2 linked regions of the Cricetulus griseus genome follow. The protein of the gene in region 1 purifies or fractionates together with the protein of each later gene. This does not show direct contact. Links are inferred from orthologs where the notes say so. Each region holds a gene or a part of one and is shown on either strand. Other genes may lie near its edges. The genes, in order: Dnm2 and dynamin-binding protein.

The links.
Region 2: the proteins of Dnm2 (region 1) and dynamin-binding protein purify together in Homo sapiens (co-immunoprecipitation; 3 studies listed by BioGRID and IntAct, with this or other methods). This does not show direct contact. The link is inferred for Cricetulus griseus from reciprocal best matches to the Homo sapiens genes DNM2 and DNMBP.

What each region holds. Positions count from the first base shown.
Region 1 is NC_048597.1:134,285,891-134,290,278, forward strand, and holds the start of Dnm2 (dynamin-2), read left to right. Parts: upstream 1-1,327; 5' UTR 1,328-1,494; coding exon 1,495-1,655; intron 1,656-4,388. UniProt on the Homo sapiens protein: Catalyzes the hydrolysis of GTP and utilizes this energy to mediate vesicle scission at plasma membrane during endocytosis and filament remodeling at many actin structures during organization of the actin cytoskeleton.
Region 2 is NC_048596.1:17,642,351-17,646,161, forward strand, and holds part of dynamin-binding protein, read left to right. Parts: coding exon 1-331; intron 332-3,811. UniProt on the Homo sapiens protein: Plays a critical role as a guanine nucleotide exchange factor (GEF) for CDC42 in several intracellular processes associated with the actin and microtubule cytoskeleton.

The sequences.
Region 1 (4,388 bases):
CAGAGGATCTGGGTTTTGTTCCCAGCACCTACACTGTGGTTCACAGCCATGCAGAATTCCAGTCCTAGGGGATCTGACACTTCTGATTTCTGCGGGCACCAGGCACATTATGTGGTGCACATAAAAATAAAATAAATATTTTAAAACGTTTCAATATTTTATGTAAAATTTTAAGATTGATTTATGTAACAATTTTTTATGTACAAGGGTGTTTTGCCTGCATGTAAGCATGTGTATCATATTTGTGTCAGATCCTGTGGAGGCCAGAGGAGGATGTCAGATTCCTGGAACTGGAACTACTGATGGTTGTGAGCTGTCATGCAGGTGCTGGGAACCAAACTCGGGCCCTCTGCAAAGGCAGCAAGCACAAAGCCATCTCTCTAGGAGCAATAGAAAAAAATTTTCTTAAGTAAAAATAAACCTAGGCTTATAGTCACCGGTAAAAGACTTGCTTAGCTTCATGAGGCTATGGACTCATCCCCAGGAACATTCAGGAACATGCGCGGAAGAACGAGTGGATTCAGACACCACACTCACAACCTGCTATGAAACTCATCTTCCACTGGCACTGCACTCTTCCAGAGCTGGCATCTGTGGTGCTTCCTAAGATACAAGTTTTCTCCCAGTGCCTAAAAACGCAGGCGTGATGATCACTGAACCTTTTCTCGAGGTGTGGCGCTTTCCAAGTACTGTGGCCCTCTGCTTAGAAAGAATATCACAAACTGACAACAAAAGCCAGGAAAAGCTGGGAAGAACTGACTGACAGACACTGCTGTCAGTCAGAATCAGGACATAGACGCTAGTAGCCTGTAATTCTAGCAGGAGGGATACTGAGACAGGAGGATCACCTCGAGTTTGCGGCCAACCTATGGTTCAGAAAGAGCAGAAAAAAAAAGGGTTGTGGCTCTCTTCTTTCATTGGTCAGAGGGACGAAGTGATATTTACATCAACCAATGAGAAAATTTTACGGAACTAACTAGTGTCAAGTGACAACCCTGTGTTTAAGGATCGATTCCTTACACCATTGGCAGGCTGACGTTTCCAGAGACCAATAAGACAACCCAGATCAACCTAGTGAGCAGAGGCTTCGCTGTCTTTACCCGAGACCCCGCCTTCCGGGCGTGACACCCCGGTTTCCACTTCTATTGGCTTTCTCATATTAGTGACAGTTCTACTACCCAATGAAGGTGAAAGACTAGTCCTTCCTCGTGCCTTTTCTACTGGCTCCCATTCTTGAGTGGCAGCATTCTTGACCAATTGGCATAGCATTAGGGCTCCTGGCTCCGCCCCGGAGGCCGGGCGGGGAGGTCGCTCGGGTCGGGTGTCGCCTGAGAACCGGATGAGGCGGCGACTGTGAGGCCGAGCCGTGAGCGGGCGTCGCGGCGAAGTGGAGCCCGGGCGGGCTGGTGGAGCGAAGCGGGAGGAAGCAACGGCCACAGACGCCTCGGAGCCGCGTGTCGTAGCCAGGGGAGCCGCGGGGCGGAGGCTGGCACCATGGGCAACCGCGGGATGGAAGAGCTCATCCCGCTGGTTAACAAGCTGCAGGACGCCTTCAGCTCCATCGGCCAGAGCTGCCACCTGGACCTGCCGCAGATCGCCGTGGTGGGCGGCCAGAGCGCCGGCAAGAGTTCGGTGCTCGAGAACTTCGTGGGCCGGTGAGCGAGCGCGCCGGCGGCAGTTCCCAGGCTCCCGCGGGAGGCCGGGCGGCGGGCGGGCGGCGGCCGGCCTAGGCGCGGAGGGCGGGCGGGGAATGGCGGAACTGCGGCTCGCGGACGTCGTAGCACCCGTGGCAGTGGGTAAGGTCTGTGGCAAGAGCGTCCGTGACTTTCCTCAGGGACCGGAGATGCAGACCCACTTCCGGACCTGTCTGGGGCAAGATGGCCAATGCAGATCCTTCTTGGTGCACTGAGTCCCAGCTATCGCTGGTGAACTGTGACATCGCATTGCCTGTGATCCAGGATAGATCCACTCTTTTCTCCTGCTACCTGTAAATCTTAGTGTGCGTGCTACTGAAGCTACACTTATCATCCAGCCCCCCCATGGGGGATGATCCCTGGGTCTGTCAGGCTGGTTATCTATGTGGAGCCTTCTCTGCCGTCTGGTTAGCTGTTTATTCGTTCTAGACAGGCTTCCTACCGGCACCATTTGGTTGTCCCATCTGTCCAGACCCACCCCGAAGTCCACTGTTGTCTGACTAGCTGTTTATGGTGACCTCTGGTGTGCAAATGCCCATCTGTGCCCTTTGCTTACCCGAGTTGGTCTCTGCCACCTGAACGCCTGAACTTTTAGGGGCCTCTGTTGTCTGGTTCTCTTGGGCCATTGGCTTCTGTCTTCCAAGTGAATCCGTTCCGTTAGTATGCCCTGCTGTTCATTACCGCCCAGTCAACTCTGCCTGTCCCATCCTCTCTGAGTGGGGGGGGGGGGGGCGGGGCGCTTGAGAAGAAACATTCTTTAGGATTCTTTCCTGGCCCAGGATCCTAGAGAAACTACTAGCTGGCTCCTAAGCTAAATCTTCCCGGTTGGAGAGCTCTCCAGACAGCTCTGGGAGCCTCAGCTTGTTCCATCTGTCCAGTGGGCAAATTCCACTTGCAGCTGTTTCTATGATCCAGGAAGTGAGTGAAGGAGGGATGTTGATTTACTCCTATCCCCTCCCCCGCTGCTTTTCACACAGCACCACTTCTCCATTCCAGGAAGTGTTCCATGTATGATGCTGTGGTGTGTGCCCAGTGATAATCTTTGCTTTGCTGTGGACATTATTGTGCCTGTGTGTGTCCGTGTGTCCAAGTGTGTGCCACAGTGCACTTGTGGAGGTCAGAGAACATCATCTTTGTGCAGTCCCTCATTTATGTGGGTCCTGGGGATCAAACTCAGGGCATCAGACCTACATAGCAAGCAAGCCCCTTTGCCCATTGAGCCATATCATTCATTGTCTTTTCATCTGAATGTGTAGCTTTGGAGCCTATCCTGGCACTTGCTCTGTGGCTCAGGCTGACCTTGAACTCAGAGATCCACCTGCCTCTGCCTCCCGAGTGCTGGGATTAAAGGTGTGTGTAGCCACTGCCAGGCTCCATCTGAAATTTTTGAGACGTGGTCTGAGTCTGAAGCTCACGGAGCAGCTAGACTGGCTGGCCAGTGAGCTCCAGTGTATCCACCTCTCTCTGCCTCACCCTAGCATTGGGTTACACAGACACACTCTCTCTCTCTCTCTCTCTCTCTCTCTCTCTCTCTCTCTCTCTCACACACACACACACACACACACACACACACACTCCCTACTTCCTTCCCTCCTTCTCCCTAGTGCATGTTGTTGTTGTTGACAGTCTTTTGTGGAAGGAGGAACATCTCTGAATTTGAGGCTATGTTACTCTACATAGAGTTCTAGGGTAGACAAGGCTATACAGTGAGACCCTGTCGCAAACAAACAAACAAACAAACAAAAAACCCATATAGGTTGGTTCAAGGATGTACTTGGATGTTGGAAGTGTCGATTTAGGCTAAATTAGATGTACCTGTGATCTTAGGTACTCAGGAGTCTGAGGCAGGACAAGGTTTGAGTTTATGGTCACCTTGGGTTGCATTGTTAGATCTTGTCTCAAAAAAAAGCCAGGAGTGGCTTGTGGTTGTAGCTCAGGCATAGAGCAGTTGCCTTGCATGAATAAGGCCCTAGGGGTTAGTCCTTAGCATTAAACCGATAATAAATATTATTGCCATTTATGTTCTCTTTGATTGCTTCATACTCAAAGAGACCTTTGTAAGACTGTGGCTTTTAGGTACTGAATTTTTTATGTATATGTACATACACCTATTTTTAATTAATTTTTTTAGATATAGTCTCACTCTCTAGACCAGGCTGGCCTTGAACCCACAGGGATCCACCTGCTTCTGCCTCCTGGGTGCTGGGATTAAAGGTATGCACCACCATTCCTCTATTTTTCAAAACAAAATTTTGAGACAGTCTCATACTATATAGTCCAGGCTGACCTGGAACTCACCATGTGACACAGGTTGGCCCCCAGAAGTGTAATAATCTTTTCCTGCTTCCACTTTCCAAGTGCTAGGGTCACAGGCATGTACTGCCATGCCTGGCATTAAGTTCTTTTTGCTCTAGAATGTCTTAAGGCCCCTGGGCTGAAGGAACCTGCTAAGAGGGGTCTTTTGGTGGGTCCCACTCAATCCTATTCTGTATCTCCTGCTGTGAATTTGACTAAACAGACTCAGAAATGAGAGTCTGTTTCCTTCCTCTGCTGTTCTTGAATGTACAGTAGGCATCTGGCTGGCACCCAGGAGCAAAGAAGAGAGTGTGCCAAGGGCTTCAACCAACCCAGCACCTGGGGACAGCTTGGACTGCTTCCTGTCTGTGTTGCCTTTGGATTTTTCGAAGAGTGTTG
Region 2 (3,811 bases), on another chromosome or scaffold:
CCCCTGCCTCCCTCTACGCAACAGAAGACGAACACAGCCTCTCCCAAGCCCACCTCCTGTACCCTTCCTAGTTGGGAGGCCCCAGAGAAGGAGTGCCCTGAGCCTGCGGATCAGAGCCCAGCCCAGATGTCTCAGTCTCTGTGCCCCTCTGTGCTGGTGAGGATTCAGGATGTGGAAAATGACTTGGACATGTACACCAGGGCTCAGGAAGAGCTGACCTTGATGTTGGAGGAAAAGCAGGATGAATCGTTGAGGGCAGAGATGCTGGAAAATCTCAAGTTCTATGAGAGCAGCATTCAGAGTCTGACCCTGGAGCTCCAGCAGCTGAGAGGTAAGAGTCAGGAAACAGTGTGATCTCCACACTGAGGCTCAGTGAGGGCCTGGCTATGTGAAAAGCACCCTGGTCAACACAGAGTGATCCACATCTCGATTCCTAGTTCCTCATTCTGTCACCTAATTAGATTGCTGTGCTGTGCTGTATCTATGACGTCATTTACTGCTCATAGAGAAGCCCAGCCTCATAAACGAGTGTATTTTTGACACAGTACCCCCTCTGCCACTGTGGCATCCATGCTACATTGCAGATTGGAAGTTCCTAAACTAGACTTTCTAAACTGAAGTCTACCAGGCCAACTCTCCTGAGAAAACTAAAACTTTATCTTTGTGATCAGGGGCCGTGTGACGGCAGTGATAGCCTGTATTTCTTTCTTGTTAGCATTTGTTGTTACTATTTGTTTAGAGGCTTCACGGGGCAGGGAGCTGGAGAGATGGCTCAGCAGTTAAGAGCACTGACTGCTCTTCCAGAGGTCCTGAGTTCAATTTTCAGCACCCACATGGTGGCTCCCAGCTGTCCATGACTCCAGTTCCAAGAAATCCAACCCTCAAACAGAAGGCAAAACACCAATTCATGTAAAATAAAAATAAATTACTAAAAAAAATAGAGTTGGGCTGGAGAGATGGCTTAGAGGTTAAGAGCACTGAGTTCAATTGTGAGCCACCACATGGTGGCTCACAACCATCCGTAATGAGATCTGGTGCTCTCTTCTGGCCTGCAGATCTACATGGAAGCAGAATGCTGTATACATAATAAATAATAAAATCTTTAAAAAGAAAAGAAAAAACAAATTTAAAAAAAATAGTCTTTTCATGGCCCTCATGCAGGGATTGTTCAGACACCACTTTATAGAGGGAGGAACTAGACCGAGCTGTTAAGTGACTTGCAGAGAGCTGAGGTCTAAGCTGGTGTTATCGCTACTATAGCTTTTGACTCCTTCCCACCTGGTATATTCAAAAATGCATATTCCATGGCTAGTCTCTGAAGTTCTGTGTGTGTGTGCAGGTACATGTGTAGGTATGCATGCATATGTGTGTACATGTGTATGGGTCAGAAGTCATCCTTGAGCATTGTTCTTCAACTGCTGTCACCTTGGTTTTTTGAGATAGGGTCTCTCATTGGCCTAGAGCGGTGGCTGTCAACCTTCCTACAGCTGTAACCTCTTGATACAGTTCCTCATGTTGTGGTGACTCCCAACCATAAAATTATTTTTGTTGCTACTTCTTTTTTTTTATTAGTTCAAATTAGAAACAAGCTTGCTTCACATGTCAATCCCTTCTCCCTCCCCTCCCCTCCCCCCAGCCCCTGCCAACCCCCCACCCTTCCCCCCTCTGCTCCCCAGGGAGGGTAGGGCCCTCCATGGAGGCTCCCCCAAGTCCACCACGACATCCTGGGCCAGGCCTAGGCCCTCCCCCATGTGTCCAGGCCAAGAGTGCATCCCTTCACGAGGGATGGGCTCTCAAAGTCCCTTCTTACACCAGGGAAAAATACTAATCCATTACCAGGGGCCCCCTAGAGTGCCGAGGCCTCCTCATTGACATCCATGTTCAGGGGTCTGGATCAGTAACTTGCTGGCCTCCCAGGCAGCAGTCTGGGGTCCATGTGCTCCCCCTTGTTCAAGCCAGCTGTTTCTGTGGGTTTCACCAGCCTGGTCCCGGCCCCTTTGTTCTTCACTCCTCCCTCTCTGCAACTGGGTTCCAGAGTTCAGTTCAGTGTATAGCTGTGGGTGTCTGCCTCTGCTTCCATCAGCCACTGGATGAGGGCTCTAGGATGGCATAAAAAGTAGTCATCAGTCTCATTATAGGGGAAGGGCATTTAGGGTAGCCTCTCCACCATTACCTAGATTGTCAATTGGTGTCATCCTTGTAGATCTCTGGAGATCTCCCTAGTGCCAGATCTCTCCTCAGACCTATAATGGCTCCCTCTGTTATGGTATCTCTCATCCTGCTCTCCTCTATTCTTCCCCTACTCAACCTTTCTGCTCCTCCATTTCCTCCTCTCCTCTCCTCTTCTCCTCTCATTCTGGCAGCTCCCTCTCTGTTACCCTCAGGCTACCAATTAACTCAGGAGATCCTGCTCCTTCCCATTCTCCCGGGTCCGTGCATTTTTCTCTTAAGAGTCCTTCTTGTTTCCTAGTTCCTTTGGTGATGAGGATTGTAGGCTGGTAATCCTTTGCTCTATGTCTAAAATTCATATATGAGTGAGTACATACATGTTTGTCTTTTTGTGTCTGGGTTACCTCACTCAGGATGGTTTCTTCTAGTTCCATCTATTTGTTGCTACTTCTTGACTGTAATGTTGCTACTGTTTTGAATTGTAACATAAATATCTGATGTGCAACCCCAAAGGGGTCGAGAGCCACTGGCCTGGAGCTTGCTGATCATGCTAGGCTGACTGGCCAGTGAAACCCACCTGTGTCTACTTCCTCAGTGCTGAGCTTATAGGCGTGTGTCACCACTCCTGGCCTTGTACATGGGGTGCTGGGTGCTTAGGTCCTATGCTTGTGCAGAGGGCTCTTTGAGCCACATTCCCAGTTCTCTCTGGAGAGTTCTTATTCAGCAGACTCACAGGAAAAATAATATACAAAGTGGAGCTGGCTTGGTGATGTGTGCCTGTAATCTGAGCACTCATGAGGCTGAGGCAGGAGAATTGTTCCCGAATACGGCTGTTACACAGAGAAACCCTGTCCTGAAAAACAAAAACAAAAACAAAACTTTTCATATGGGGACATCATTGTTCGATAGTTGACGTATGGTTCAAAGATGCTTAGACTTTAGTGGAACTATTTTTTGAAGATGTGTTTTTATTTCTTTTTATGTGTACGTGTGTATGAGAGAGAGAGAGAGAGAGAGAGAGAGAGAGAGAGAGAGAGAGAGAGAGAGAATGTATGCCATGGTTATAGATGCTCTTGGAGGTCAGAGGAGACTTCGGATACCCCGATGCTGGAGTTACAGGTAGTTGCGAGCTTCCAGTTACAAAGTTGGCATACTCATAGAGCGTAAAACACATAGGTATGTGTTTTATTTGTAAGTGTGAATTGCTATAATGAGCATACGGGGCCATGAGCATACATTCTCATGAACTCACACTAACAGCAGCCACTCTAAGCAAAACTAGTAGATTGGGTCCTGCCTACTCCTCATGGTCCTGACCACTCATCCGGAGTTGCAGGTGGAGGAGTTTCCCCACTCTTGTTTGGGCTCCTTCAAGCCCACATCTCTACACTGTTCGACTTTATTCTCTTAGGAGAGTTCTAGTCTGTTCACTCATTGCTAGATGTCTCACCTGATTTTTCTTGGGCTTTTTATTTTATTCATTTATTTATTGTGTGTGCGTTTCTGACGTCTTTTCTTCAGGAGGTCATTGACAAAGTTCAGGCTTAAGGTTGGGGGAGATTGGCAAAACTGTCACAGAATGTTTTTATGATCCTAGTTTTCCTTTGCTTGCTTTTTGTTTTGTTTTAGATTTTGTTCTCAT